2 linked regions of the Macaca fascicularis genome follow. The protein of the gene in region 1 interacts with the protein of each later gene in a pairwise test. Links are inferred from orthologs where the notes say so. Each region holds a gene or a part of one and is shown on either strand. Other genes may lie near its edges. The genes, in order: THAP1 and FAM133A.

Region 1 (14,832 bases):
AGAAAAAAAAAAGAAAAAAAGAACAGTGAGGAGACATGCAGAGGGATGGATTTAAGAGGCATTTATTTATTTAGTCTATAAAATTAACCTGGTCATCAAAGGATTTTATGGGTGACAAAAACTAATCCAAGATGACTCCAAGGTTTCTGGTTTAGGCAACTGTTGAACAGATAATTCACAGATGATAATCCCAAAGGCAGAACGGATATACAAAGGAAATAAAACATGAGAGAATTATGGTATTTGGTTCAGTTTAAGGAGCAGGGTGTTTAGGAGTTACAGGAGGCCAGAAGATGGAACCCTGGGGAAACACCAACATTTAAAGGGGCAGGAAAGGTAGAGAATAAGGGCGAAAGGATTACTCAACATTTTGCTCTCCAGGTTTGCCTGGCTCAGATCTATATAAAGAAAAGGAGCAGGGAATGAAGTAAAACTGTTACAGGAAAGGGGTCCCAATCCAGACCCCAAGGCAAGGTTCTTGGATCTCATGCAAGACAGAATTCAGGGCGAGTCCACAGTGCACAGCAAAAGCAAGTTTATTAAGAATGTAAAGTGGTGAAAGTACAGCTACTCCACAGACAGAGTGTTCCCGAAAGAAAGAGAAGGAACGCATCCACCCTAAGTACAACACTTAGTTTATATATAGAATAAAAAAAGATCATGGGGACATGTGCTGTGCTACAAGGGTTTGTGATAAAGGATTAATTACTATATTATGTAAGAATCGATATCTTTATTTATTTATGAGACAGAGTCTTACTCTTGTCGCCCAGGCTGGAGTGCAGTGGTGCAAGGACGGCTCACTGCAACCTCCGCCTTCCCAGATTCAAGCGATTCTCCTGCCTCAGCCTCCAGAGTAGCTGAGATTCGAGGCATGTGCCAACCACACCCGGTTAATTTTTGTATTTTTAGTAGAGACGGGTTTCACCATGTTAGCCAGGCTAGTCTTGAACTCCTGACCTCAAGTGATCTGCCCGCCTCAGCCTTCCAAAGTGCTCGGATTACAGGCGTGAGGCACTGTGCCCAGTCCATTATTATCTTTAAAGCAAAATTAGGAATGCTTCTGTTCTCAAAATATCGAGATACCTGGACACTTCGAAGTCTGGGTCTGTTTAGTAAACATTATCAATCTGTTGCCTTAATGGTATACATCTAGAGGCTAGGAACACCTAACTTTCCGGGAATGCAGCCCAGCAAGTCCCAGCCTCATTTTCCTAGCCCTCACTCAACACAGAGTCGCTCTATTTCGAACCCCTCTGACATATTCTCTCTCAGATGTGAAAACTGCTGCAGCAGCTCCCTATTTGCAACACCGCACATGGAAATCACAGCAATGGACAGCCCTTCACAAAAGCTTCTGGGGAGGGAGGGCCTGGTGGCTCAACTCCCGTAATCCCAACCCACTGGGAGGTCGAGATAGGTGGATCCCTTCAGCTCGAGTTCTAGACTGGCCTGGGCAACGTGGGGAGATCCTGCCTCTATTTTTTTAAAAAATTACATATATATATATACACACACACGTATATATGCATACATATATACATATATATAATGCTTCTGCGTTGGCAATTCAGATGATTTGGCGAGTGTGTCTTTTTTCATTGCTAAAAACCTGTCACGTTGGCTCTCAGAGACTTGTGATGCCTGAAGACACAGGTAATGGGAAAAAGATCAGCATTCTGGGAAAAGGTTCCACAATTTTATTAATCATACACCATCTGTGTCCGCCCTTTTAGAGAAATGGGCGCAATCAGACAACGACCTCGGCTTTACACCTGTTCTCCATGAGGCCCTAGTTGTTTCCTACTGTAAGCCGCCCCAGAAAAGCTCCGCATCAATTAACCCACGGGAACAGCCCGGGCTGGAGGATGCCCCTGGAATCCAGCCTCCCGCCGCGCCTCCTCCCCCGCAAGCTGTTTCTTCCTGCCTACCGGAAGTTCAGGGCTCCGCCCACTTCCGCAACTCTGAAGCCACCGCCGGAAACACCTGGCCTCAGCCAATAGTTAGCTTCCCAGGAATCGTTACCTCTGACCTCGGGGCTAATCAGAGACAGTGGGACGCACCCCTCGCGAGAGGTGAGGTTGAAGCTGCCTCCGCCATCTTGGAGATGGGAGACGGGCGATGGCTGTGGTCCTTCTGCTAATGCAAACAACAAAACGGGCACACTAGTCACCCCCGAGGGAGGCCACCATCACTGTAACTGTTGGCCAAAGCTACAAAAGAGCGAGGGTGTCCAACCGAGCGCGGCGACACTGAAAGCAGCTTCCCCTGCCTTCTGCGGCGGCAGAAGTGAAGTGCCTGAAGACCGGAAGGATGGTGCAGTCCTGCTCCGCCTACGGCTGCAAGAACCGCTACGACAAGGACAAGCCCGTTTCTTTCCACAAGTGAGGACCCTGCGCGCCTCGCGGGGCCGGTCTTAGCCAGGGTGGGGGCGCGCGACCGGCGGGGCCGGGGGCGGAGCCAGGCGCGTGTCCGCGCGAGGGGCGGGTGGGGTCTGGGGCCGGCCGCGCGAGGCGTTTCCCGCCGCGTCCTGCTGGGAACCGTCGCCCGATCGCGCGTTCTCGGCGCGCGTCTCCGCGGCGGTTGTTTCTTGCGCTCTCGGAACAGGTCCTCGTTGCAGGCTTCGCTCCAGGCCTCGGTTGACGAGTTTGGAGCCCGCGGGCGATGCCTATGGTGGCGCGGGTTTTGCCGCCACCAGGGTCACGAGCAGCCAGGTGTTGTAATAACGTCTTAGGGGTAAATTTGAAATATAAACAAAGGCCTTCAAACGAAGAAATCACTATTTTTTCCCTTGTCGTGGATGGGAGGCCAGCATCGTAGCAATTAAGGGTTTTTTGGCTGGGAAATCCTGGAGAATTTTTGCCCCAAATCTCTAGGAACTAAGCTTTAAGGACCCTGAGTTTTGAAGAAAGCTTCAGGTACTGCCAAGATAAATCGTTATCTTTTCAGCACACAATAATGATAATATGGATAGTTACAACATGGATCATAATAAAATGACTCACACTGATCTTTATTTATTACGGCATTACCTGTGCATAGAGGAAGCTCTTTCGAAAGAAACTGCCCCACAGCTTTCAGAGCTGTCTTATCCAATAGGTAGCACAGTTAAGAGTGCTAGGATCAAAAATATTCTCTTGAAAATAGGAAAAAAAGTGCAAAGTTGCAATTATGATAATCAAACGCTTGTAAAATGTGACATAACATTCAGCTGAATTTGTTTACAAATTTTAATTACATTTATGTTAAGTTTTCTTTGTAAGAATTCCTGACAACTATATGCAGATGATAGCTAAGAAATCAGATCCAGGGGTAAACTATACAAATTAGTCATAGGTAATTAGCTAATTATCTTTTATAATTAGGTAATTACAAAAGCAAAATGTTAAATATCCTTTCAATTTTTTTATTTTGGTGTGGAGCCATCTATGTTTACTAGGGGAGTGTCCATGCATTTTTTAAGTGTTTGATATCATGTGAGATGGAACCTATAGAAATAAGAGAGTGTAGAACATAGGTCTCCAGAGTAATGATGTTACCCCTTGGCGAAGGGGGTAGAACACTTACAGGATTCAGTTCAGGATATCCTAATATTGTCTCTTAATTTAATTGGAATTTCTGTAAACATGTTCTTTCGAAATGTAGGAAAAGGTCAGGTGATGGTAACAGGATTACATGTGCAGCTCCCCACCCACATTTCTGATGGCATGGCAGAAGGAATCTAAAATTATGGAAAATGTTTCACTGGCACTGGAAACAAGTTTAAGGAGGGTATTCACACGTCAGAAATAACTGTGTTTTTGGCCAGGCACAGTGGCTCATGCCTGTAATTCTCAGCACTTAGGGAGGCCTAGGTGGGCAGATCACCTGACGTCAGGATTCAAGACCAGCCTGGCCAACATGGCAAAATCCCGTCTCTACTAAAAATACAAAATACAGGCGTACGCCTGTAATCCTAGCTACCTGGGAGGCTGAGGTAGGGGAATCGCTTGAACCTGGGATATGGAGGTTGCAGTGAGCTGAGATCTTGCCCTGCACTCCAGCTTGGGTAACAGAGCCAGACTCCATGTCAAAAAAAAAAAAAAAAAGAGAAATAACTGTTTCTGCTAGGTGTTAAACACATACGGATTGAATCAAAAGAAGAGCTAACCTGCATCTTATCCCTTATCTAAAAGAGCAGGTTTAGGGAGAGTAGATGGGAAAGATTTTAACAGAATCTCACAAACAGCTGTAAATTTGTGGTCCTTGTGCCAGGAGGCCCTAGGTACTGACTGAATTTTAGCAGCAAATGCTACCATAGTTTATGCTTACAGAGCCAGGAGGCCATAGGTACGGAATTTTACCAGCAAATGCCACCCTAGTTTATACGTATAGAGGCCATTTCCAGCTGAGATTTTCTTCTTCTCCTTTTGAGATGGAGTCTTGCTCTGTCACCAGGCTGGAGTGCAGTGGCACGATCTCGACTCACTGCAACCTCTGCCTCCCCGGTTCAAGCGATTCTCCTGCCTCAGCCTTCTGAGTAGCTGGGACTACAGGCGCGCAACACCACGCCCAGCTAATTTTTTTTTTTTTTTTTTTTTGAGACGGAGTCTGGCTCTGTCGCCCGGGCTAGAGTGCAGTGGCCGGATCTCAGCTCACTGCAAGCTCCGCCCCCCGGGTTTACGCCATTCTCCTGCCTCAGCCTCCCGAGTAGCTGGGACTACAGGCGCCCGCCGCCTCGCCCGGCTAGTTTTTTGTATTTTTTAGTAGAGACGGGGTTTCACCGTGTTCGCCAGGATGGTCTCGATCTCCTGACCTCATGATCCGCCCGTCTCGGCCTCCCAAAGTGCTGGGATTACAGTTGTGATTACAGGCCACGCCCAGCCCCAGCTGAGATTTTCTAGGAGTACCACTTATCCCACCGTCTGCATAGTGGCAGCAGAGAGTGCTATGTTGTACAAAGAAAAGGGACTGTCATAAAGATCTCTTACTAGCAGAGTCAGGCTCTAGCATATTGTACATGGAAGAGAAAACTGTGAAACGTAAATTCAAAACCCCCTTCCTTTGTTTTTTTTTCTAATCCCCCCAGTTTACCAAATCCTTAATTTGGAAGAGTAAAACCACAATAAATTTAAACTCTCACTATCCCCGTTTACCTGGGCCTAATGGACATCCCAGTTGATTAGAAAATAAATACTTTTCTTTCATTATTATCTGCCTTTAATTCAAATTTACCCTGTTCGTATTTGTCCAGACTGATGCTAAGAGAACTAGAAGCCCCTCTTTCCCAGTACATAGATACAAATGTGCAATGTTTGTCTTCCTGTGCAGCACACAGAAAATTACTGGTAAAAATAGAATACAGTTTTTTTCTTTTTGAGACAGGGTATGGCTCTGTCACTCAGACTGGAGTGCAGTGGAACCATCTCAGCTCACTGCAGCCGTGACCTCCCAGGCTCGAGGAATCCTCCCACCTCAGCCTCAGCCTCCCAAGTACCTGGGCACATACCACTATACCCAGCTAATTTTTGTATTTTTTGTAGAGACAGGGTTTTGCCGTGTTGCCCAAGCTAGTCTTCAACCTCCTGGACTTAAGCAGTCTCTTGGACCTTGGCCTCCCAAGTGCTGGGATTACAGACATGAGCCACGGGCACATTTATTCTATAGTATGTATTTTACTTGAATCTTTTGGTGAACTCACTATAAAAAGTTAAACATTAATAAATGAGGGCCCAGCGCAGTGGCTCACGCCTGTAATTCCAGCACTGTGGGAGGCCAAGGTGGGCGGATCACGAGGTCAAGAGATCGAATCCATCCTGGCCAACATGGTGAAAGCCCGTCTCTACTAAAAGTACAAAACTTAGCTGGGCATGGTAGCATATGTGGTGGCAGGCGCCTGTAGTCCCAGCTACTTGGGAGGCTGAGGCAGGAGAATCACTTGAACCCAGGAGGTGGAGGTGCAGTGAGCCAAGATTGCGCCACTGCACTCCAGCCTAACAACAGAGCAAGACTGTGTCTCAAAAAAAATTTTTTTTAATTAATAAATGAGATAGATAACTAGAGCTAATCTTTAATCCAGTATGATAATACCATTGTAACATCTTTAATACCAATGTAAGATCTTTCCTACGTTGGAAAGTTTGGGTGCCTTTATTTTAAAAAAATCAGCACAGATAATTGAATTATGCCTTCTTCTTAGGTTTCCTCTTACTCGACCCAGTCTTTGTAAAGAATGGGAGGCAGCTGTCAGAAGAAAAAACTTTAAACCCACCAAGTATAGCAGTATTTGTTCAGAGCACTTTACTCCAGACTGCTTTAAGAGAGAGTGCAACAACAAGTTACTGAAAGAGAATGCTGTGCCCACAATATTTCTTTGTACTGAGCCACATGACAAGGTAATATGCGTTTTAAAATATTGGGTTGCTTTCTGTTTATCAAACTGATATGTTCATTGATTAAAATGTGGAAAACTCAGTTAAAGAGAATAAATGTGCCTGGAACTTTGTGTAGTTAACAGTGATACACTTCTGAAAACACAAAATGCGGTTTATTTAAGATAAATATCCTCACACTAAGAAACTTAGTCCAGCCCTTGTAACTTACTTAAAAATCACTCTGTACTGCCAGTTATATATTGATAAGTTTTGGGTTTTCTTTATCAGTGACAGTTTAGTTTCAAAGCATTTTTTTCTCCTCAGTGCTTAGTATTTAATTGGATCTGATTATTCATTTTGTCTCTTTCTTGCACCGTCCCTTTATTGCAGGTAGAAAAGTTTATTCAAACTGAAACTGTTTTCTCATTTTGGAATGTTTCTGTACCACTGATTCACCACAAAAGTCTAATATTTCTTAAATTCCACAGAATATTTATTTATTTATTTATTTATTTATTTATTTATTTATTTTTGGGAGACAGAGTCTCTCTGTCACCCAGGCTGGAGTGCAGTGACATGATCTTGGCTCACTGCAACCTCCGCCTCCTGGTTTCAAACAATTCTCTTGCCTCAGCCTCCCGAGTAGCTGGGATTATAGGCATACACCACCACACCCGGCTAATTTTTGTATTTTTAGTAGAGACGGGGTTTCGCCATGTTTGGCCAGGCTGGTTTCAAACTCCTGACCTCAGGTGATCCGCCCACCTCTTCCTCCCAAAGTGCTAGGATTACAGGCGTGAGCCACTACCCCTGGTCAGTCCACAAATTGTTTTAAACTGTTATTTTTAGTTACTAAATTCAAACATACTTTGTACTTTTGTTTTAGAAAGAAGATCTGGAGCCACAGGAACAGCTTCCTCCACCACCTTTACCGCCTCCTGTTTCCCAGGTTGATGCTGCTATTGGATTACTAATGCCACCTCTTCAGACCCCTGTTAATCTCTCAGTTTTCTGTGACCACAACTATACTGTGGAGGATACAATGCATCAGCGGAAAAGGATTCATCAGCTAGAACAGCAAGTTGAAAAACTCAGAAAGAAGCTCAAGACCGCACAGCAGCGATGCAGAAGGCAAGAACGGCAGCTTGAAAAATTAAAGGAGGTTGTTCACTTCCAGAAAGAGAAAGACGACGTATCAGAAAGAGGTTATGTGATTCTACCAAATGACTACTTTGAAATAGTTGAAGTACCAGCATAAAAAAATGAAATGCATATTGATTTCTAATGGGGCAATACCACATATCCTTCTCTAGCCTATAAAGGAGTTTCATTTAAAAAAATAACACTTGATTACATATATAAAAACAGTTCAGAATATTTTTTTAAAAAAATTCGATATATACTGTAAAAGTATAAATTTTTTTGTTTGTAATTTCAGGTTTTTTACATTTTAACAAAATATTTTAAAAGTTATAAACTAACGTCAGACCTCTAATGTAAGTTGGTTTCAAGACTGGGGATTTGGGTTTTTTCTTTTTTAGTATTTATAGAAATAATGTAAAAATAAAAAGTAAAGAGAATGAGAACAGTGTGGTAAAAGGGTGACTTCAGTTTAAAACTTAAAATTAGTACTGTTTTATTGAGAGAACTTAGTTATATTTTAAATCAGAAGTATGGGTCAGATCATGGGACATAACTTCTCAGAATATATATATATATGTACATATTCTCATATGTAAAGTCACATGGTTCATTTATGTTTCTGAATCAGTTATCAAAGATAAATTGGCAAGTCAGTACTTAAAAAGAAAAAAAGATTTGATTGTCTTCACAGCAGAAAAGAGTCATTGCGTATCTGATCAATATCAATAACTTTAGATTCTAAGAGTGGATTTTTTTTTTTAATGGGCTCCTATTTTTCCCCCTACTGTCTAGCATTATAAAATTAGAAGTGTATTTTCAGTGGAAGAAACATTCTTCAATAAATAAAGTAAGGCATTGTCATCAATGAAGTAATTAAAACTGGGGCCTGATCTATGATATGCTTTTTTCTTTCATTACCCTCTAGCTGAAGGACATCCAGTTCCCCAGCTGTAGTTATGTATCTGCCTTCAATGTCTCTGACAAATGTGCTGTGTTAGTAGAGTTTGATTTGTATCATATGATAATCTTGCACTTGACTGAGTTGGGGCAAGGCTTCACATAAAAAATGATTTCTTCACTTTTAACACAAGTTAGAAATTATATCCCATTTACTTAAATGAGTGATTTATATTCAGAACAACCTACTATGTAGTGTTTATTTTACTGAATGTGGAGATTTAAACACTGAGGTTTCTGTTCAAACTGTGAGTTCTGTTCTATATTTGTGAGAAATTTTACATATATTGGAAATGAAAATATGTTCTGAGTAAACAAATATTACTATAGGAGTTATTTAGATTTAGAATAACTGTTCCAATGATAATTATTACTTTTATATTTCAAAGTACACTAAGATAGTTGAAGAGTAATAGACCCTTTAAGACAGTATTAAAGGTGTGAAACAATGGTGTTCAAAGTGTCTTTTGTAGAACTGGTTTTCATTGTAGTTCACTGCCATGCTGCCAGTGGATAGCACTGTGATTCATGGATATTTGATGTTTTATGAACCAGTATCTCAAAAATAGAAATAATGATTGGAAGATTACTTGAAGTTGGGCTGGGCACCATGGCTCACGCCTGTAATCCCAGCACTTTGGGAGGCCGAGGCAGATGGATCACAAGGTCAGGAGTTCGAGACCAGCCTGGCCAATATGGTGAAACCCCATCTCTGCTAAAAATACAAAAACTAGCAGGGCATGGTGGCGAGCGCCTATAGTCCCAGCTACTTGGGAGGCTGAGGCAGGAGAGTTGCTTGAACCTGGGAGGTGGATGTTGCAGTGAGCTGAGATGGCACCACTGTACTCCAGCCTGGGCAATACAGCGAGACCCCATCTCAAAAAAAAAAAATTACTTGAAGTTACATAGTCTGATAACATCATTTAGAACTAATGCTGATCAACCAGAAGACTTTTACAGATTATTCATGGAACTCATAACTGTTTTTAGAGGCTACAAAGTATTCAAGTAGTTTGGTTTTATATGTTGTCTTTCTAGCAATTCCTGGAAGTACTCAGGAATATTTAGATTTATTCCTGAATACTTTGAAAAGTATATACCTTTGGCTGGGCACGGTGGCTCATGCCTGTTATCCCAGCAATTTGGGAGGCCGAGGCGGGCAGATCACCTGAGGTCAGGAGCTCGAGACCAGCCTGACCAACATGGAGAAACCCTGTCTCTACTAAAAATACAAAATTAGTGGTGGCGCATGCCTGTAATCCCAGCTACTTGGGAGGCTGAGGCAGGAGAATCATTTGAACCTGGGAGGCGGAGGTTGCCGTGAGTGAGGGCGGCGCCATTGCACTCCAGCCTGGGCAACAAGAGCAAAACTCCGTCTCAAAAAAAGAAAAAAAAGAAAAAAAAGAAAAGTATATACCTTCAATCTAAGTACTCTTCTACATAAAAGATAAATCCTATGTGTGTGTCCCAGAATGAAGAATCCAGGTTAGATTATAAAAATGGAAATCATAATTACTTAGCATATTAGCATTATTATTTAACCTCAAGCTACTTTCTTTTCATAACAGACATAAATCCCCATTTGGAGAGAACTAAGCAAGCAGCATGTATGCCAACTGCTTTCATTTAAATAATCTATCATAGTAGTTAAACAGAAGTTTGAGGCGCAGGTACTTATTTCTGAATTGACTATTGTATTGTTTATAACATTGCCAAGAAAAGAAGGTCTGCCAAGAAAAGTAGGTTCTGTTCAGGCATAGTGAAACAGTCTGACACAAACAGGGACAAGGACTCAATTTTTTTTTTTTTTTTTTTTTTGAGAAGGAGTCTCGTTCTTGTTGCCCAGGCTGGAGTGCAATGGTGCAATCTGGGCTCACTGCAACCTCTACCTCCCGGGTTCAGGGGATTCTCCTGCCTCAGCCTCCCGAGTAGCTGGGATTACAGGCATGCACCACCATGCCCAGCTAATTTTGTATTTTTAGTAGAGACGGGGTTTCTCCATGCTGGCCAAGCTGGTCTTGAACTCCCGACCTCAGGTGATCTGCCTGCCTTGGCCTCCCAAAGTGTTGGGAATACCAAGCGTGAGCCAGCACGCCCAGCCGGTCTCAATCTTTTAATACTGCCTTATAATACAAATATAAAGGTCACTTGAATTGCTGGTTGGCTTGAATTATCACATTCCAATTGAAGTTTTAAGTTTTTAACAACTAATTTAAATGTTTACTAATTGTATACGAGTTATGTGTACTAAAAATAATTCTGTTGTTGCAGTGAGAACATAGCAAAACTTTGTACTTAGAAATCCAAGTACATGAGGGGATTTTTTTTCTTTCAGTTGTAATTTATGTGATCCCTTTCTTAGAATTATAATAATTGTGATGGCAAATGAAAGTTTCACGTGATATGGGCTTTTTAGCTTGCATTAATATTCCCTGATCATCTTTTAGTGCTAAAAAAAAATACATGTGTGGCCAGGTGCGGTGTCTCACACCTGTAATCCCAGCACTTTGGCAGGCAGAGGTGGGCAGATCACCTGAGGTCAGGAGTTTGAGACCAGCCTGGCCAATACAGTGAAACTCCGTCTCTACTAAAAATACAAAAATTAGACGGGCGTGGTGGCGTGCGCCTTTAGTCCCAGCTGCTCAAGAAGCTAAGGCAGGAAAATCACTTGAACCTGGGAGGTGGAGGTTGCAGTGAGCCAAGATCATGCCATTGCATTCCAGACTAGGCGACAGAGCCGAGACTCCATCTCAAAAAAAAAAAAAATACATGTGTACACATATCCACCACCTATAGCTTTTAGAAAGTTGATAGTAAACAACGTATTTTAAAATCCATTTGTGTTCCAGAATTTTAAAAAGATAGTCCACCCTGAATAGCATTTAAAGAAAAAGAATAAATTTTCCAGCTGATGGTAAATGGTGTTGCTTGGCATTATGATTTTATATAGTCTTGTGTTTTAAAGTACAGTCACTCAAATGAAAGAAAAATACTGAAGAGCAACAACAGTGCTTTGCAAATAAGCAATACTATTATACTTAAAAGTAATAGAAAAATTTGCTGAAGGTAATGTTCTCTTATAATTCTATGTCTTTTTAAACCTTGGATATAGCTTTATTCTACTGAGATTTTTCTGAATGATAAATATTTTTTAAATTAAAAATCTGTTGAATTTTTATTTGTTCTCTTTAAATTCATAGTATTTTATGTCTTGAGATTATAAAAAATTTATTTTTAAAATATCCTAAGGGATACAAATAAACTTCATTGTTTTAGTTTTTAGTAAAACCGTAGAATACAAACAATAATTTAATAGAAAAATGACTTCCAAAGTGTATTGGCAAGAAAAAAATTTTTTTAAATAACCATTTAAAGTCTCTGCCAATTGTCCTAAGGGAATATAGCAAATGAAGAAATGATAAGGAAAGTTTACTAAATCTCTATAAGGACATTGAGTCTGTAGCATTTAGGCTACAACCCATTTCTCCCTAACCAAACCCCCTATCCCAACTCGGTGCTATAGAAGCTCTACTCTGAAGCTCCACTCAATCTTCTTGGATATGGTCAAGAAGATCGTACTCCCTTAACTCCCAATCAAGGGCTATGGTATCTTTCAGGGAGGGGCTGGTTGCCAGTATTTTCATGTCCCTCTAGCTTTGTGTTGCAGAGACTAAATTCCAGGAGGGTCCAGCCAAGAGGTCAGGGACTCCCTACAACCAACTTCCACTCTAGGTGGAGGGTCTACCATAGGTATGGCAGGCCAAGACAGAGGGCCTTGATCACCTTCTCCAAGATGAATTTTCCATGCCAGGAGAAGTAAGCCAAGAACCCCAGAGGTTGTAGTCTCAACTGAGGATATAGTCTCAACTGAGCCCATAAAGCAGGCATGTAACTCCCAGAGAAGCAGGCCACTTTCCTCACTCCTAGCTCCAGAGCAATGACTCAGATTTTCCCAAGGGAGATGCAGGTTATAAGAACAGAGAGCTCTGGCTGGGCGTGGTGGCTCACGCCTGTAATCACAGCACTTCCGGAGGCCGAGGCGGGCGGATCATGAGGTCAGGAGATCGAGACCATCCTGGCTAACACGGTGAAACCCCGCCGAGACGGTGCCACTGCACTCCAGCCTGGGCAACAAAGCGAGACTCCGTCATCTTAAGAAAAAGAATAGAGAGCTCTGAAGCTATTTCCGAATCTATTTCCAAACTGACAATTTGGAACACTGGGAAAGTTCAACCCTAAGGATGCTCTCAAAAACAATGGAGAATTTAGTGGTAAACAAGAGGAAGTTAGTAGCTCCACAACAACAGCTAAATTGTAGGTTAGTAATTTACCAGAAAGGACCAAAGGAAGAGACAGCTAAGAAGGGCCCTCCTGGGTCAGAGGCTGGCACTGTGGCTCACACCTGTAGTCCCAGCACTTTGGGGAGCCAAGGCAGGTGGATCACCTGAGGTCTGGAGTTCGAGACCAGTCTGACCAACATGGAGAAACCCTGTCTCTACTAAGAACACAAAATTAGCCAGGCATGGTGGCGCATTCCTGTAATGCCAGCTACTTGGGAGGCTGAGGCAGGAGAATTGCTTGTACCCAGGGTGCAGAGGTTGCAGTGAGCCCAGATCGCGCCATTGCACTCCAGCCCGGGCAACAAGAGCAAAACTTGATCTCAAAAAAAAAAAAAAAAAAAAAAGCAGGGGCCAAATTTAATAGGATCACACTGTGGAGCCATTCATGCCTTGGGGCATTGTCAAAAACAATAGAGAAATCAACGGGAAATTGGAGACTTAACAGCTGAGTGTGAAACCAACAAACACAGCAAAATAAGCAGTCAAAGACAGACCTGCTGAAACTACTGTTATCCCTGGTGACTGTATACCTAAGGCTACACCTTTTAAGGAATGAAATCAGAGACTTCACACTGAAGAAGATATAAACTTAATTAGTGCAGCCAAGTAATGAAATAAAGGAGCAAACAGGGCCAGGCACAGTAGCACATGCCTGAAATCCCAGCATTTTGGGAGGCTGAGGTGAGCAGATTGCTTTAACTCAGAAGTTTAATACCAGCCTGGGCAACATGGTAAAACCCTATCTCTACAAAAAAAAACCCAAAAAATATTAGCCAGGCATGGTGGCTCATGCCTGTAATCTTAGCACTTTGGGAAGCCGAGGTGAGCAGATTGCCTGAGCTCAGGAGTTCGAGACCAGACGTGGTGAAACCCCATCTCTTCTAAAATACGAAAGAAATTAGCCAGGTGCAGTGTGGTGCCCCTGTAGTCCCAGCTACTCAGGAGGCTGAGGCAGGATAATTGCTTGAACCCCGGAGGTGGAGGTTATAGTGAGCCAAGATCACACCACTGCACTGCAGCCTGGCCGACACAGCAAGACTCAGTCTCTACAAAAAAAAAGAAAAAAGAAGCTCAACAGTAGTTCAAGCTGGCAGAAGAAAAATCAGTAAACCTGAGGTAGAGATCATGCTATCTGAAAAACAGGAAAAAAAAAGAATGAAGAAAAATGAACAAAGCCCCAGAGAAATACAGGACTCCATTAAACACACCAAATATGCTTAATGAGAGTACCAGAAGAAGAGGGGCAGAGGGAGAGCAGAAAAAATATTTGAAGAAAAAATGACTAGAAATTTCTCAAGTTTGATAAAAAAGCACACACTCAAGAAGCTCAATAAACATCAAGCAGAATAACTGCAAAGAGATCCACTCCCAGACATAATAGTAAAAAATGCTGAAAACCAAAGACAAAAATTTGAAAGTAGTAACAGAAAAATGACTAGTTCCAAGGGCAACAGCTGACTTTCTCAGAAAAAAATGGAGGCCAAAAGGCAGTGGATGGCATATTCAAGGTGCTGAAGGGAAAACTCAATCAAGAATCTTCTATGTAGCAATATTATCTTTCAAGCATGAAGGTAAAGGGGGCTGCTTCTGGGAAGATGACAGAGTAGGAAGCACCAGAAATCTGTCTCACTACCTACACTACAGTGGGACTGGCAAAATTTGATGTAACTATTTTGGAACTCTGGAGTCTATTGAAGGCTTGCAACTTCTAGTGGTAAGGCTTGGATTACAAACTGTGATTAATTTTGGTCAATTTCAGCTCTCGACTTGGTAGCAGTTACTCATCTCCCATCCACAACCCCATGGCAAGTAGTGCACAAGCTACAGGAGCAGCTTGCATGTGACTTGACTTGTGGAAGCCAAGGTGGGCAATATCCAAAATTCAAATATCAGGATTAATGTCTGATCACTGATTGCTGCTTAGATCAAGGACATGCAAACACAGGTGAACAGCCTTTGTGACATCCACCCCACAGACAGTTGCAAGTCCCTTCCCCTTTAGCTAAAGCAAATTCCAAGGAAGTTAAAGGGTTGGTGTC
Region 2 (16,932 bases), on another chromosome or scaffold:
CGCCTGTAGTCCCAGCTACTCGGGAGGCTGAGGCAGGAGAATGGCGTGAACCCGGGAGGCGGAGCTTGCAGTGAGCTGAGATCCGGCCACTGCACTCCAGCCTGGGCGACAGAGCAAGACTCCGTCTCAAAAAAAAAAAAAAAAAAAAAAAATCAACAATGTGAAAAGTCTACCTAGAGAATGGGAGAAAATATTTGCAAACTATTCATCCAACAGGGAATTAATATCCAGAATATGCAAATAACTCAAAACGGCAAAAAAAAAAAAAAGTTTTTTTCAAAAATTGGCAAATTATCTGAACAGACACTTCAAAAGAAGACATACAAATGGCCAACAAATATATGAAAACATGTTCAACATCACTAATCATCAGGGATATGCAAATCAAAACCACAAAGAGATATCATCTCACCCCAGTTAGGATGGCTATTATAAAAAAGATAAAAATTAACAAATGCAGGTGACGATGTATAGAAAAGGGAACTCATACATTTTAAGTAGTAATGTAAACTAATACAGCCACTGGAGAACAGTATGGAGGTTCCTCAAAAAACAAGCATGTATTATTTTTATAATTATAATAGAAATATGACTTGACTTTCCAAAGAAAAGTATCTTTTAAACAACAAAGAAATTGGAGGGAAGTTGTTTTCAGTAATTTACGAGACAGGAAAATGCAATGTGGCAAGTTTGATTATGCTTAATTCAAGCAACAGATTCTGATAAGAATAAAAGTAATTGGGTCATTAGGGTAGCCATTTTATGAGATATTCAGAGTACTGTTTATTAAAATAAGAAGCTCTGGTAATTTGATCTATATTTTCCTTTAAATGCTCATTATATGTAAAGCAATTTTGCAATAATTATCTAGGAATATTGTCCTTTAGAAATAAAATACTAATGAAATAAAAGGGTTAAATAAACAGACATTTTAATTTAATATTAAGTGTGGATCATCATTAGATTCCAAAATTTTTCTCCTGAAGACTCTGTGTGTCCTCCTAACTGTTAATAGTTTATGAGGTGTTACTATTTAGAAGTTGGTTGGCAAAACACCAATTCTTTAAAACCTGAAAATTTAGTAAACTAATGTAATTTGTTGCATAACAATTATGCATCAGTAAATCAGGCACAATTAAGAGACAATTGTTAAATTAGAATGCAATTAAAGGCTAAAACAAATTTTATTTGAACAGCAAGTAAAAAATGGTACTGCTGGCTGAACGTGGTGGCTCACTCCTGTAATCCCAGCACTTTGGGAGGCCGAGGCAGGGGAATCACTGGAAGTCAGGAGTTCGGGACCAACTGACCAACAGGGTTAATCCCCATTTCTATCAAAAATACAAAAATTAGCTGGGCGTGGTGGTGAATGCCTGTAATCCCAGCTACTTGGGAGGCTGAGGCAGGAGAATGGCTTGAACCCGGGAGGTGGAGGTTGCAGTGAGCCGAAATCACACTATTGCACTCCAGCATAGGCAACAAGAGCAAAAGTTTGTCTCAAAAAAAAAAAAAAAAAAAATTGGTACTGCTGCAAGGAAGCCAGTTCATTTGTTTAAGAAGTTAATTAGTACAGTACTAAATGTATTCTTGTGCAGAGCAATTCTCTGAGAGAGGACAGAGGATTATAAATAAAAAAATATCTTGGTCCGTCTCCTAGGTAAATTTAAAATATACATAGGAAAAGAACATGTGTGTGTACACGCAACAAATGATGTATGTGGCTCTGTTATAATGTTTATCATAAAGCACACAAAAATGTAATACACCCCAAGCAAATAAGCTCTGAAGGAAAGACAGAGTTAAAGAACTATGTTCCATTGGGTAACTATTCCTGGAGAAGATAAGTTTAGTAAAAACTGTTTGGACATGCACCATGTTATAAGAATTTTACATGTACTATGTCATTTCAAGCTCACCATTGCTCTGTGAGGTGGGCACTATTATTATCCCCATTCTACAGATGAGGAAATTGAGGCATAGAGAGTGAAGAAATTTGCCCACGGTCACTAGAGGGTAAAGGACACAGCTTGTACTTATACACTGGTTTGATTCCAGACAGTGGAGTATCACTAAAAGTTTAGGATTAGAGGAAGGATATAAGTGTTTTCAGAAAGACCTTTCTAAGAACTATGTATAGCATATCTGAGAGGCTAAGGAGCAGTTTGGGGGCTGCTACAAGCAGATTGGTCAACTAGTCTAACATTTACATAATTTTCTTTTCATGTCATATTTAATCTTTCTTACAAAGAAGGCTATAACACATTCTCATGATGTAAATAATGAAACAGTTTTAATTAAGGTATCCAGTTACCTCTAAACAAACAAACAAAAATACTCATTCTTTCAGATAGACAAATGCTGGTTATAAGAGAAGACAGACAAACGTGGTCAATATTATCATTTTAAAATTTTGTTTACACCTGTTTTAAGAGAGTTGCTAAATCAAAGTAATGAATCTAGAGAATGCATGCCTCTATTTCTTCTTTCTCTGAGAAGCAGATTTTTTAACCAAAAGCAACAATTAGTGCATTGACATCTTGTTTGTTTACTCACTTCTTAGAGAATTGTGAAGTGTTAGCTATCATTCCCTTGAAAGTATCAACAGCAGATTTGCTGAAGCATTAGTCTATACTACATACTAAACATATACTTTCATAGAAACATCTACCAGAATGGAGAACTATTTTTTTTCTCAGAGGAGGTACCTAATGAAATTAATTAAATATATTTGGATATTCTGGAAAAAATTCGGCAGAAAATGTCACTTTGGGCTTCTTCTAGTTTGTCCAAATAAATTGCAAAATGGGGAAATAGCCATTGCATAGATAGAGAGATAGATAGATAGATCTAAGATATCATATAAGATATATACATATATATCATATGCACATAAGATATATCTATCTATAGTAAGCATTTTTCATTTTTCAAAGTCTGGATTTTTCCTTCCTTTTTAGTAAAATTAAATAAAATACTTTCAAACTTGCAATAAAAAGGTCTGCTTTACTTGAATTTTAGGATAGAAATTCTTCAGATGAGTACTACAGGCAAAAAAATCTTCATTACCCTTGTAAAAATATTCTTCTGTGATGTGGTTTTACATTTTGAAAAATACATGCTGTTTGTACATTCAAAACTAGCATTAGCAACAAAAGCAAAAATAGACGAAAGGCATCACATCAAACTAAAAATGTTCCTAAAATAAAGGAAGTAAATGAGTAAAGAGGCAACATATGGAATGGCAGAATATATTTGCAAACCAAACATATGATAAGGGGTTAAATATTCAAAATGTATAAGGAACTCATCAAACAACTCAGTAATTTAAAAAAATATAATTTAAAAAATGGGCAAAAGATCTGAAGAGAGGTTTTTCAAAAGGCATACAAATGGCCAATAGGTATATGAAAAAACATTTGACATCACTAATCAGGTAAACGCAAATTGAAACCATAATGAGATATCATCTCACGCCTGTTAGGATAGCTATTATCAAAAAGACAAAAGTTAAGTGTTGGTGAGAATGTGGAGAAAAGCTAACCCTTGTAAACTGTTGCTGGTAAGGTGAATTAGTATAGCCATTATGGAAAACAGTATGGACATTCCTCAAAACTACCTTAAGAATGGAACTACCATATGATCTAGTAATCCCAGTACTGAGTATATATCCAAAGGATATGAAATCAATACATTGAAGAGATATCTGTACTCCCATTTTCATTGCAGCATTATGTACAATAGCCAAGATATGGAATAAACCTAAGTGTCCATCAATTGATAAATGGATAAAGAAAATATTGTATATATACACAATGAAGTATTGATCAGAATTTAAAAAGGGAAATCTTGTCATTTGTGGCAACATACATAAACCTGGAGAACAATATGCTAAGTGAAATAAGCCAGGCACAGAAAGACAAATACCACGTGATCTCACTTACATGTGGAGCATAAAAATGTCACATTCATAGAAACAAAGAGTAAAATGGTGGTTACCAGACGATTGGGAGTTGGGGGTTTGAGGAGCTACTGTTCAAAAGACACAACATGGCCTGGCACAGTGGCTCATGCCTGTAATCCCAGCAATTTGGGAGACCAAGGCGGGTGGATCATGAGATCAGGAGATGGAGACCATCCTGGCTAATATGGTGAAACCTCATCTCTACTTAAAAAAAAAAAAAAAAAGGAAAAGAAAAGAAAAATTAGCCAGGTGTGGTGGTATGCACCTGTAGTCCCAGCTACTCGGGAGGCTGAGGCAGGAGAATCACTTGAACCCGGGAGGTGGAGGTTGCCGCAAGCCGAGATGGCAAACTGCACTCCAGCCTGGGCGACAAAGCGAAAAAAAAAAAAAAAAAAAAAAGACACAACATTTCAGCTAGACAGGAGGGAGGTAAGAGAGATTTTGAGGGTTCTCACCAGAAAAAAATAAGTATTTAAGGTAACATATATGTTAAAATGCTTGATTTAGTCATTCAATAATGTATACATATACCAAAACATCATGTTATATGGCAAAAATATATGTAATTTTTACATGACAATTAAATTTTCTTTAAAAAAATAGCGCTATGTTAAATATCCAAATTGGGAAATAATTTTCCTTACCTTACATTGCATTAATTTTAACTTCCCTTTTAAACGCCATGCAGTTAAGGGTATAGTGCTAGAAATGCAATTCAGAAATGGTTCCTTAAAAAATAAAAATCTATAACAACATACCATTTTCTGTTCATTTGAGTATATCCATATTATAAGAATAAGTATAAAATGAAATATTTTTGTTTGAAAACCACTGCTATCGTTTAAAATGTTATAAAACAGCAAATGTTTTATTTACTACTATTAATAATAGCAACATCATAACAACCAATGTTTTATTATTATTCTTTTTTGAACCATAATTTATTAACAGCTTGAATATACTTTCTACTTAATATTTCCATTTTAGCAAGTAGGTCTCTCTTTATCAGATGTGAGAAAAACAGGGCATTATTTGTGCTCCTGAATAATGCTAACTACCATTCTTGTGGCTGGGCTGTAGACATCTACACACTGGCAACTCCACAAAATAGAAGAACATTTATGTTTTTTTTGTTGTTATTTCTGTTCTAGGTTTTTACTGCTGTTATCTGACCCTCTATCTCACATAGTTGGGAGCAGAAGTGAAAGGTCAAGGATGAAGATCCAGCTCCTGTGACTGTCTCCATTGTAATGAAATTCTGTTATCACACAATTTTGTTCTCATTCTTTCTCAAATGTATCTAACAAATGGATAACTACCGATTGTGTCATTAAAATCAGTACACAAAGGAACAGATTAGAGAGTCCAACACAGACCCACATATACAAGGACAGCTAATTTTTGACAAATGTGCAAAGGCAAGTCAGTGGTGAAAAGACAGTCTATTCAACAAACAGTGCTGGAAAAACTGTATATCTACATCAAAAGAAATAAACCTTCAATCCATACCTTGTACTTTTCGCAAAAATGTATCACACTTAAATGCAAAACCTAAAAGTATAAAACTTAAAAAAAAAAGGAAGAAAATAATTGTGACTTTGGGTTAAGCAAAGATTTCTAAGAGATGACACCCAAAGTATGTTCCATAGAAGAAAAACAAGATAAATTGTACTTCATCAAAATTGCAAACTTCTTATCCCAATTACCTTGATTTGACCATTACACATTGTATTCATGTATTAAAATCACATGTGCCCCAAAATATGATGTATGATGTATCAATATAAAAATTACTAATGTTTCCTCTTTAAAAACAGTAAAAGACACCCTTAAGAGAATTCAAAGAAAATATGCAGTCTGAGAGAAAATATTTGCAGAAGTTATAACTGACAAAGAACTTGCATCCAGAGTATATAAAGAACTCTCAAAGAAATATAAATTAAGATCACAATGAAATACTACTGAATACTTATTAGAATGGCTAACTTTTAAAACACTGCCCATATCAAATGTTAGCACTGTTGGTGGAAATGCAAAACAACCACTTTGGAAAATAGGTAATTTCTTAAAAAGTGAAACATACACCTACCATGTGATCTAGTCATTCCACTCCTATGTATTTTGCTAAAAGAAATTAAAACATATGTCCATACAAAACTTATATACAAATGATCATAGCAGGCTTATTTGTAGTAGCCCAGAACTCAAAACAACAAAAATGCCCATCAACAAATCATAGTATTGCCAAGTAATGAATAATTACTCGGCAGTAAACAGGAAAAGTAAACTCCTGATACACACAACCACATGGGTAAATTTCAAAATAATTCTGCAAAGACAGGCAAAAAGAGGAACATACTACATTATTCCACTTATATAAAATTTTAGAAAATGCAAATTCATCTATAGGAACAGAAAACAGATTAGCTATTGTCTAGGGACAAGAGGAGGGATTCAAAGGCATATGAGGAAACTTTCAGGGATGATACAATTTTCATTATTTTGTCTGTGGTGATACTTTCACAGATAGACACATTTGTTGTGTGCCTATTATACATCAATAAAATGGTTTTTTAAAAAGAATTAACTTGTATATTCAGATAAAACTTGTCCAAGAAGAACAGGAGGAAGAGTCATTCAAAAATAAATGAACTTGCAATGCTTCGCTTCTTAGATACCTACAAAAAAAGATAATGCTGCTACACGTGTCATTATACACTTTGTGTGTTTGTGTGGCAGGAGTGGGTGGTGGAAGGGATTGTGTGTATATTCATATTAAGGGAGGTATCAACAGATGTTAATGTACTATGTTCAGTCTGAGTATACTATCAGATTCTGTGTTATGTATCATCTCATGTAGAAGCATTAACATTTAGCCGCCCTCCCACAAAAAAATCATCTAGTAATTGAACAAAGAACATATCACTATGCAAATAATTTATATATAACCTTATTAAGAAAAATAAGTATATGATATGATAAAACTAATATGTACATTTCACAGTAGAACAAATAGGATATAATGCAGCAATTAAATTGATTATGAAGAAAAAGCTTATTTTATTTTAGATACCTACTACATAAAATTAAATAAACTAATCAACCAAAAAAAAGCTACAAAAATAAAAGTGTGTTACAAGATACTTATGGATACACAATTAAAGTAGAGAATTGTGATTAGAAAAAATCATCTACTTTCAACATTTTCATTGCCTATATCTAGGAAAAAATAATTCCAAATTGAAAATCACAATTGTTGATTAATACATTATTTTTATATGATGTTTTTGTAAGCTTTTTTCTATTTTTCATCTCCATGTTCCATTCCAAACTTTTCCAGGATCAGTGTGAGTGGTTAAGTAGTTATCCGTAATCCTTGAAAAGCATCCAAAAAAACCCCCAAGCATCCCCCCAAAAAAAACCCAACCAATTTTAATATGAAATTTAGTCACATTTGCCCAATATCATGCATTATTTCCTGAAGAAATCATAGTTGTCTTAAGTAAGTCAAGGCCAAAATCATTTTACCTTTAGGATTTCACCATTGATTAACTTCTTGCTTAATTCAGTAGAAAACAAAAAATATGAATAGACAGTTCTCAAATAAACATAAACATATGAAAACACAATCTTACCACTAATCTAAGAAATACAAATACTAATATTGATAAATTAATTTGGAGATGTTGATTACAAATGTAAATGTAAGTAGTGATTACTTCTCAGTTTTATTTTGAGTTACTTTTAATTTCTTCTTTGTATTTCAATGTATTGTCTGACTTTATCAATGAACACATATCATTTTCACAAAATGTAAAGTTATCTTAACACCGACTCATTAGTTGTTTGCAACTAATGGATCAGAAAATAATTTAGAAACAGACCCAAGCAATTTATTTAATGTGATCAAAGTAGCATTTCAAGTAAGCAGGAGATAGAAAGATTACCAAATAAATGGTACTAGAAGAATTAGCTAGCTAATAAAAATAAGTATTTTAAAAATCTGGATCCCTACCTCATGACTCACTCTAAAATACTAATTCCTGATGCTACAAAGTTTAAAACATAAGAGCATACTTTTTGTAAAATCTCCATAATTTAAAAAGAAATAGTGAGTCTCAGAACAATATTTATGGTATAACACCATTGATGTAAATCATTGTTTCTATAACATATGCTTTGATTAAAATTATTCATCGAAAGGATATGCACTTAGTAAGTTTCATTCACCATTATACTACAATTCTCTACCACATTTGCCCAGCATACGACAGGCACAAAAATATATTAGCTGAATGACAAAAAAAATGAACCTTTATGCACTGTTGGAACTGTAAATTGTGATAATCATTCTGCAGAGAGTTTGGCAATATGTATACAATAATAATTCCATAATATGAAATGATCATTCCCAGGCCATTCATTTCTAGGAATTTATCTTATGACCAATTTTCAGAAGTGCATAGAAATATATGCTTTAGGTATCCAGGGACACTTTTATTATAGCAGGAAAATAGTATGTATATAAGGGGAGAGATGGTATAGAAATAGCCACCCTATAAGAGGAATCTGTTCAAATAAATTAAGGCAATTATTTCCATGGAATATGCACTTATTTAAAAATAAGATGTTGATCATTTGCCATGAAAATATAGCCATTAGTAACTGATAAATTAAATGAAAAGACTACAAAACATAATATGGTATCACATAGATAAAGCAGTATACATAAATAGGCAGGTATGTATATGCACAAGGAAATTTCTAGAAGGAAGTGCATCAAAATGCTAGTAATTCTTATCATTTGGTGGTTAAGATTGTGTGTTTTTACTACTGTTGGAATTTTCTGTATTGAGGTTTTATCTTTGCAATGTTCACAGACTTTGACAATTAGAGATATGCAATAAAAGTAAATGCATTTATGAGACAGAAAAGCATTTCATAACTTTTAAAAACGTGACTACATGACAAAGCACAAATTCTATAAAGATTAATCTAACTTTAATACAGTTCCTCATTTGAAATGAATAATTTATCATATTTCATATTTTAATTTACAACTTGTATTCTATGACCAGGTTAAGATAGTTAATGTGGTTAAGTAGGCTATTGTCTACATTAGTATGCCAAATTACCTCTGTGGATTTTCCTGTTTCCATAGAATTATCAAGATTATTATCTAAAATAAATCTCTAAATGACTGCATCCTGTAAACTTTTATTCAGATGGAGATGAGTAATTTTTGTCATTCTTTAAAATGTGCTAAATATGATCCTTACCTTTCAATGAAAAGTAAATACTCGTCTTTTTTATTGTACCAAGGTAGTTGTTCTGTAGCAGAAAAAAAAAATCCTGTAAATAAAAATAACAAATACCCGTTTTTAAACTTCATTTTGCAAAAGTTTATTCACATATTACTGGACTTGTAAATCATACTATAGTATGGCTAGAATTTTACAACATTAGAAGGAAATTGGTGGCAGATGACATCGCATACACTGACAGAAGATGCACATTCATTAGCACAAATTCCCCCTCCCATCCCACTGTTCTTGGAATTGAAACCTGCTGCACAAAAGTATAACGCAAATCATTTGCTTTTTAACAATACTACCTAACATTTAATACACTCTTTGTTTTATCTACAAGGTTGTTGCAAGCATTGAGAAGGGCTACGTGGCAAGTTAGCAGCAAGGTTGGGGTATATAATATGCCAGCCTAAAAAGAGAAATATAATAAAAATGGTGTAACTGACTCACGGCAACATGGGTTCGCAAACCTTGTAGATGGATATAAACCAGGCTTGCCAAACATCACAGACAGCACTTATTAAATCAGCTTCGTGGAATGCAATACGCCTGCTGTCTAGTCCCTCCCCCCTCTGCCAATAACCGACTCTCCCCTTTTTTATCCAGTGTAAAAATACTGCTCATAGAATATTTAGAGAAAATCGTTTTGTTTTTAAATCGTCCACAGTCACACTACCCAATGACGCCATTTGGACCATTTTCATTCAATTTTTTTTTTTTTCTTTTACAGATTTTTGTCAAGAGACCCGTGACAAACTAAACGGGAATTCAGGATGGGCGGATGGGAGAAGGAAGACACGCCTCTTCTGCCCTTGTTAGGAACTATGGCTGGTATTTTTACCTCATGTCTACGCTTTTTTTTCCTCTTTTAATTATAAAACTATAAATATAGACTTTTTGGGGGGCTCGGGGACACCTTCCAGGGGGTCGCACCTCAGCCGGCGAGCAGCGTCTGGGAAGGTGGGCGGAGCCAGGAGTAGTGGCGTTTGGCCGTTCGTTGGGCGTACGGTTTGTCAATTAAGGTGGACCAGCAAATGAGGAGCGAACTAAAGGCACACTGGGAACGAAATTAACGGGAGGTCTGACTGCGAGGGGAGGGGGCTCGCGATCTAAAACGAGAAGAGATCTCGGGGTCTCATACTGCGCCATTCGGCTGCGGTACATCTCGGCACTGTGTAGCTGCAGCCGGGAGAGGCCTTGCCGCCACCGCTGTCGCCCAGGCCTCCACTGCCGCTGCCACCTCAGCGCCGGCCTCTGCATCCCCAGCTCCAGCTCCGCTCTGCGCCGCTGCTGCCATCGCCGCTGCCACCTCCGCAGCCCGGGCCTCCGCCGCCGCCACTCAAGCATCCGTGAGTCATTTTCTGCCCATCTCTGGTCGCGCGGTCTCCGCGGTAGAGTTTTTCAGGCTTGCAAGATGGCAGAAGCAGATTTTAAAATGGTCTCGGAACCCGTCGCCCATGGGGTTGCCGAAGAGGAGATGGCTAGCTCGACTAGTGATTCTGGGGAAGAATCTGACAGCAGTAGCTCTAGCAGCAGCACTAGTGGCAGCAGCAGCGGCAGCAGCAGTAGCGGCAGCAGCAGCAGCAGCAGCGGCAGCGGCAGCAGCAGCAGCAGCGGCAGCACTAGCAGCCGCAGCCGCTTATATAGAAAGAAGAGGGTACCTGAGCCTTCCAGCAGGGCGCGGCGGGCCCCCTTGGGAACAAATTTCGTGGATAGGCTGCCTCAGGCAGTTAGAAATCGTGTGCAAGCGCTTAGAAACATTCAAGAAGAATGTGACAAGGTAGACACCCTGTTCTTAAAAGCAATTCATGATCTTGAAAGAAAATATGCTGAACTCAACAAGCCTCTATATGATAGGCGGTTTCAAATCATCAATGCAGAATACGAGCCTACAGAAGAAGAATGTGAATGGAATTCAGAGGATGAGGAGTTCAGCAGTGATGAGGAGGTGCAGGATAACACCCCTAGTGAAATGCCTCCCTTAGAGGGTGAGGAAGAAGAAACCCCTAAAGAAAACCCAGAGGTGAAAGCTGAAGAGAAGGAAGTTCCTAAAGAAATTCCTGAGGTAAAAGATGAAGAAAAGGAAGTTCCTAAAGAAATCCCTGAGATAAAGGCTGAAGAAAAAGCAGATTCTAAAGCAGACTGTATGGAGGCAACCCCTGAAGTAAAAGAAGATCCTAAAGAAGCCCCCCAGGTAAAGGCAGATGATAAAGAACAGCCTAAAGCAACAGAGGCTAAGGCAAGGGCTGCAGTAAGAGAGGCTCATAAAAGAGTTCCTGAGGAAAGGCTTCAGGACAGTGTAGATCTTAAAAGAGCTAGGAGGGGAAAGCCTAAAAGAGAAGACCCTAAAGGCATTCCTGACTATTGGCTGATTGTTTTAAAGAATGTTGACAAGCTCGGGCCTATGATTCAGAAGTATGATGAGCCCATTCTGAAGTTCTTGTCGGATGTTAGCCTGAAGTTCTCAAAACCTGGCCAGCCTGTAAGTTACACCTTTGAATTTCATTTTCTACCCAATCCATACTTCAGAAATGAGGTGCTGGTGAAGACATATATAATAAAGTCAAAACCAGATCACAATGATCCCTTCTTTTCTTGGGGATGGGAAATTGAAGATTGCAAAGGCTGCAAGATAGACTGGAGAAGAGGAAAAGATGTTACTGTGACAACTACTCAGAGTCGCACAACTGCTACTGGAGAAATTGAAATCCAGCCAAGAGTGGTTCCTAATGCATCATTCTTCAATTTCTTTAGTCCTCCTGAGATTCCTATGATTGGGAAGCTGGAACCACGAGAAGATGCTATCCTGGATGAGGATTTTGAAATTGGGCAGATTTTACATGATAATGTCATCCTGAAATCAATCTATTACTATACTGGAGAAGTCAATGGTACCTACTATCAATTTGGCAAACATTATGGAAACAGGAAATACAGAAAATAAGTCAATCTGAAAGATCTTTCAAGAATCTTAAAATCTCAAGAAGTGAAGCAGATTCATACAGCCTTGAAAAAAGTAAAACCCTGACCTGTAACCTGAACACTCTTATTCCTTATAGTCATGTTTTTGTGGTTTCTTGGTAGTCTGTATTTTAAAAATTGTCCTAAAAAGTGTCTAAGCGCCAGTTTATTCTATCTAGACTGTTGTAGTATAATATTCTTCAAAATATGTAAGCTGTGGTCAATTATCTAAAGCATGTTAGTTTGGTGCTACAGTGTTGATTTTTGTGATGTCCTTTGGTCATGTTTCTGTTAGACTGTAGCTGTGAAACTGTCACAATTGTTAACTGAAACAAATATTTGCTTGAAAAAAAAAAGTTCATGAAGTACCAATGCAAGTGCTTTATTTTTTTCTTTTTTCCAGCCCAGAAGACTAAGCGTTTAAATCTGCTTGCACTAGCTGTGCCTTCATTAGTTTGCTATAGAAATCCAGTACTTATAGTAACTAAAACAGTGTATTTTGAAGTTTGACTGCTTGAAAAAGATTAGCATACATTTAAGAATGTCAAGACCACATTTGATTCAACTGAGACCTTGTGTATGTGACATATAGTGGCCTATAAATTTAATGATAATGATGTTACTGTTTACCACTGAGGTGTTAATATGACATAGTATTTTTTAAAAAGTTTCTTCATCTTATATTGTGTAATTGTAAACTGAAGATACCATGTTTTCTTTGTATTATGTTCTACCTTCCCTTTCACTGAAAATGATCACTTCATTTGATACTGTTTTTCATGTTCTTTTATTGCAACTTAAAATAAATAAATATTAAAGTGTGTTATACTATGAAAATCTAGCCTTTTCTCCTGACTATAAAAGAGGGATGCTTATCATAGAAAAAAGTAGAGGATCACAAGGAAGGGGACAATTTAATAAAAAGATAACTATTATTAACATTCTGATGTATTTCCCACATCTTAGCTTTTCTGTTGGAGGACACTCATTCAAGATTTTGGAGAGCAATGGGACAAGGAGAAGGAACAGGGCATGGAGGGAAAGGAAGGGAAAGGTAGAAGAGGGTGGGGATGGGTAAGGGAGGAGGGAGAAAGGAGGGGTGGAGGAGAAAGAAGAGAGAGGTGAAAAAGGGAAAGGGAGGAAGGTGGGTAAGGGAGGAGGGAAAAAGGAGGGATGGAGAAGAAAGGTGAAAAAGGGAAAGGGAGGAAGGTGGGTAGCAGAAGGAATGGAGGGGGCAAAGGGAACTGGAGAGAAGAGGGGAGGGAGAGCAGGAGTACCTCACTCACAACGCCACTTATATGTAAGACAAGCTATGGAAGGTCACACTACCTTGACTCATTTTTTCTTACAGGTGACACCATGCTTTCATCTCTTCACCATGCAGCTGATCACAGAGAGATCCTAAGATTTTGCTTTGAGATAAGTGTGAGGAGGTTCCCTCACACTTAAACTCAGTTTACCAGGGAGTTTGCACTGGACATAAAGGGAAAAGCACAACATATAATAAAGTGGTGTCTTATTTCACATTTGTCATTTCTGGGTCCACATATGTTTTCCTTGAAAACCTCATAGGAAACTGTAGCCAAAGTAAGACAGGATTTTAGAATTTCTGGCTCTCTAGGCATAAAATGATCTATAATAGTCTTCCATACCACACCATATATAGTTTAGCATCTTTTATTCTGCTTAACAATAGTCACTCCCCAATTTCTATAATGTAAAAATATTAAAACCGATGTCATATTTAACCAACCACGTGTTCAGATAGTTAGGTTTACTTTATGATTTTCCACAACATGAGGAAGCAAATTATTGTTTCTAGCAATACCACAGCGTTTTTTGTTTTGTTTTGTTTTGTTTTTGTTTTGTTTGTTTGTTTTGAGACAGAGTTTCACTCTTATTGCCCAGGGTGGAGTGCAACCTCCGCCTCCTGGGTTCAAGTGATTCTCCTGCCTCAGCCTCCCAAGTAACTGGGATTACAGGCATGTGCCACCACACCCAGCTAATTTTGTATTTTTAGTAGAGACGGAGTACCTCCGCGTTGGTCAGGCTGGTCTTGAACTCCCGACTTCAGGTGATCTGCCCACCTCAGCCTCCCAAAGTACTGGGATTACAGACATGAGCCACTGTGTCTAGCCCACTGCATTTTTTTTTTTTACAGTGCCTATTTTATTTTTGAGATTTTTGCATCCATGAAGAATGGATATGGCAGATTCACTTATATGCCAAAACTAAAATGAAGAATGTAACAAATATAGTGTACCTGGCTCCTGATGCATAGGTACCCAAATTGGATAAAAACTGTACTTGCCAGACATCACAAAGAGCAGAGCCCTTAAAACTTCTGCATAGGATGCAATATACTTTTTGCATCTTAGAACTCTTAGCAAAGTATTTAACACCTTCCCTTTCTGTGTTCTCCATATTAAAGGAACACATGTTATTATAGAATATTTGCAAAATAGAAGCAGAAATGCAGAAGATAAAAATCACTCAGAAGCACACTATACTAAGATACGCTCTTTTGTGGATTAGTGTATTTTTTCCCAGTTTATCTCTTGATAAGGTTTTATTACTGCTCTTTTTAACTTTAAAGTTAGATCTAGGGACGGGGCAGGGTTTCAGAGAGCCAAAGATTTATGCATCAGTAAAATGGGACACCGGAAATGCAATCAGCCAGTAGTAGATGCTTCAGCCACCTCTGCATGTTAAGGAAGATGGGTAGAGCCAGAAAACTCGTGGGCTGGCACACGTATTGGGCTGCATGTTTGCCCATCACACTGGCTCAGACAATGAATGATGTTAGAAGGAGCAGCCCGCTGGGAACTAAGCTAAGGGGAAGAGAAGATAGTGAGAAGTGTTCAATGAGTCATCTTCTGCACCTTCCTTATGGTTTGCTGTTTCTTGTTGCTGTAACTCAAAGCCGAGGCCAGCTGCCCCCAGCCCAAGGAAAAGGTCACCCCCTCCTCCAGACTGCTCCTCCACCCCCTCTTTATCTTCCTTTGCAGTCCAGACCACCTCCTTGTTAATGAGCTCATTTCCCTCCTGAGTTGGGCTCTGAGCATCCACCTAGTCATTCTAAATGTTGGGTCTTTTTTGTTTAATGTGGCAGACTCAGATAACAAGAGACATCTCTAAGCAGCAGCAGCAGAGACTACTGAAAAGGTAATGGAAGGAACCTGAGCTGTGAGCGAAGAAAGTGACAACACGGTCAAAGGATGCAAACGTCACGTTCTGCAGCCTGGAGTGCTCCAAGCCTGGAGGTGCCACACTATCTGGCAATGCCAGTTCATCTGCCGTTAAAAAGCTTCAGGGTGATGTAATAAGATAGAAGCTGATTTTTTTTTTTTTTTATCAGGAATTGCAGGCTCTGGGAAAAGGTATATATCTTCACTTTATGAGGTGTTTGAGCCCACCAACACATGTATGAAGATGTGGGATTACGCCTATAGATTACAAAGTGAATGTCCTGACAGTGATGAGGTTTTGAATAAGGAGAATCTGGATTCTAAGGTAACTGGTAAAGCTGAGAAACAAAAGGAGGGGCAAAGATGGGAAAGGAGAAAAATGATTTAGGAAGAAACTCCTTAAAGAACTGAGCAAGTGCTGACTTTTTGAAGTTATAATTTATATTTTATTTTAACAAAATATTTCAAAATTAAGGTGTTGAAGAAGATAGGAGCTGATGTTAAAATGAGATTTCCTGATCCCTTCCTCTTTGAATATTCAGAAAATGAGGTCTGTAAAGAATGTCACATAGATCACAGGAAAATAAAAAACATCCCTCTAAAAGTAAGGTAATCACATATTAAATCGGACACTCCAACCCAAACTGAAGAAGTTCCCAAAGTCTCTTTATTTCCTTCAGTGCTTTATTTCCTTTAGTGCTTTATTTCCTTTAGTTCTCTTGAAACACAGTGCCTGAAGGTGGAACCCATGAAGAAAATAAGTCAGGTTCATTTGTAACTTTGTGATTGCTGGAATTTAAGTTACATTCTTTTCTAATTCAGCAAAGAGACTTACACTAAACAGAAGAGTCTGTTGGAACCTAGGATGACAGCAAACTGGAAGGCTGACAGATCTTGATCCAACTATTTATAAGACGGAAAAGCTGAGTTTTCGAGATCTGGAAAATACTTTGAACATCTGAACTCAGAAAACAACATGATTTGAAGAAGCAGAGTATATAACCTGCAGTATAATATTTCAATACAATTATGCATTACTTAAAATTTTACATTTTGTGTTTTTTATAGATTATATTTTCAAAATATCAAAAGTGAAATGTTTTAGTATTAAAAGACATAGTATTTAGAAGTATACCTTTCTTTGAGATGAAGAACACAGCAAATTCTCTAGGAAATCTTTATTTATTGCTATGTAGTTTAGTCCTCATGATATATTTTTATCATATAGCTATTAGAGAGCAACAGTAAAAATTATCAGAAATTTTCAGTAAAGCTAATATTTACTTGAGGAAAAATACACTTGAAGAATGAATCCAAGTATATGTTCGCCTCCAGCTCAGAAGTAGGAAGGGTTTAAGTCATCTTGTACCAGGTGTACATGCATTATTTTGCTATACAAATAGACTTATTTATTATGCAATGGTACATTACAAACTACCTCTTGAATAAAGCAACATAGAGCTAAGAATTTTCAGAAACCCATTGACATAAATTCTCCTAGATTATTTATAGT

Evidence for each region.
Region 2: the proteins of THAP1 (region 1) and FAM133A interact in binary tests that used the Homo sapiens proteins (3 or more experiments, as listed by UniProt). The two-hybrid records come from large-scale screens. The link is inferred for Macaca fascicularis from reciprocal best matches to the Homo sapiens genes THAP1 and FAM133A.

What each region holds. Positions count from the first base shown.
Region 1 is NC_088382.1:46,369,131-46,383,962, reverse strand, and holds THAP1 (THAP domain-containing protein 1), read left to right. Parts: upstream 1-2,077; 5' UTR 2,078-2,313; coding exon 2,314-2,384; intron 2,385-2,485; exon of another isoform or gene 2,486-2,664; coding exon of another isoform or gene 2,665-2,714; intron 2,715-6,178; coding exon 6,179-6,374; intron 6,375-7,239; coding exon 7,240-7,611; 3' UTR 7,612-8,902; downstream 8,903-14,832. UniProt on the Homo sapiens protein: DNA-binding transcription regulator that regulates endothelial cell proliferation and G1/S cell-cycle progression.
Region 2 is NC_088395.1:100,191,876-100,208,807, reverse strand, and holds the start of FAM133A (protein FAM133A), read right to left. Parts: upstream 10,685-16,932; 5' UTR 10,204-10,684; intron 9,977-10,203; exon of another isoform or gene 9,721-9,976; intron 9,314-9,720; 5' UTR 9,241-9,313; intron 1-9,240. Other genes in the region: NAP1L3 (nucleosome assembly protein 1-like 3), read left to right, coding at 10,685-12,214.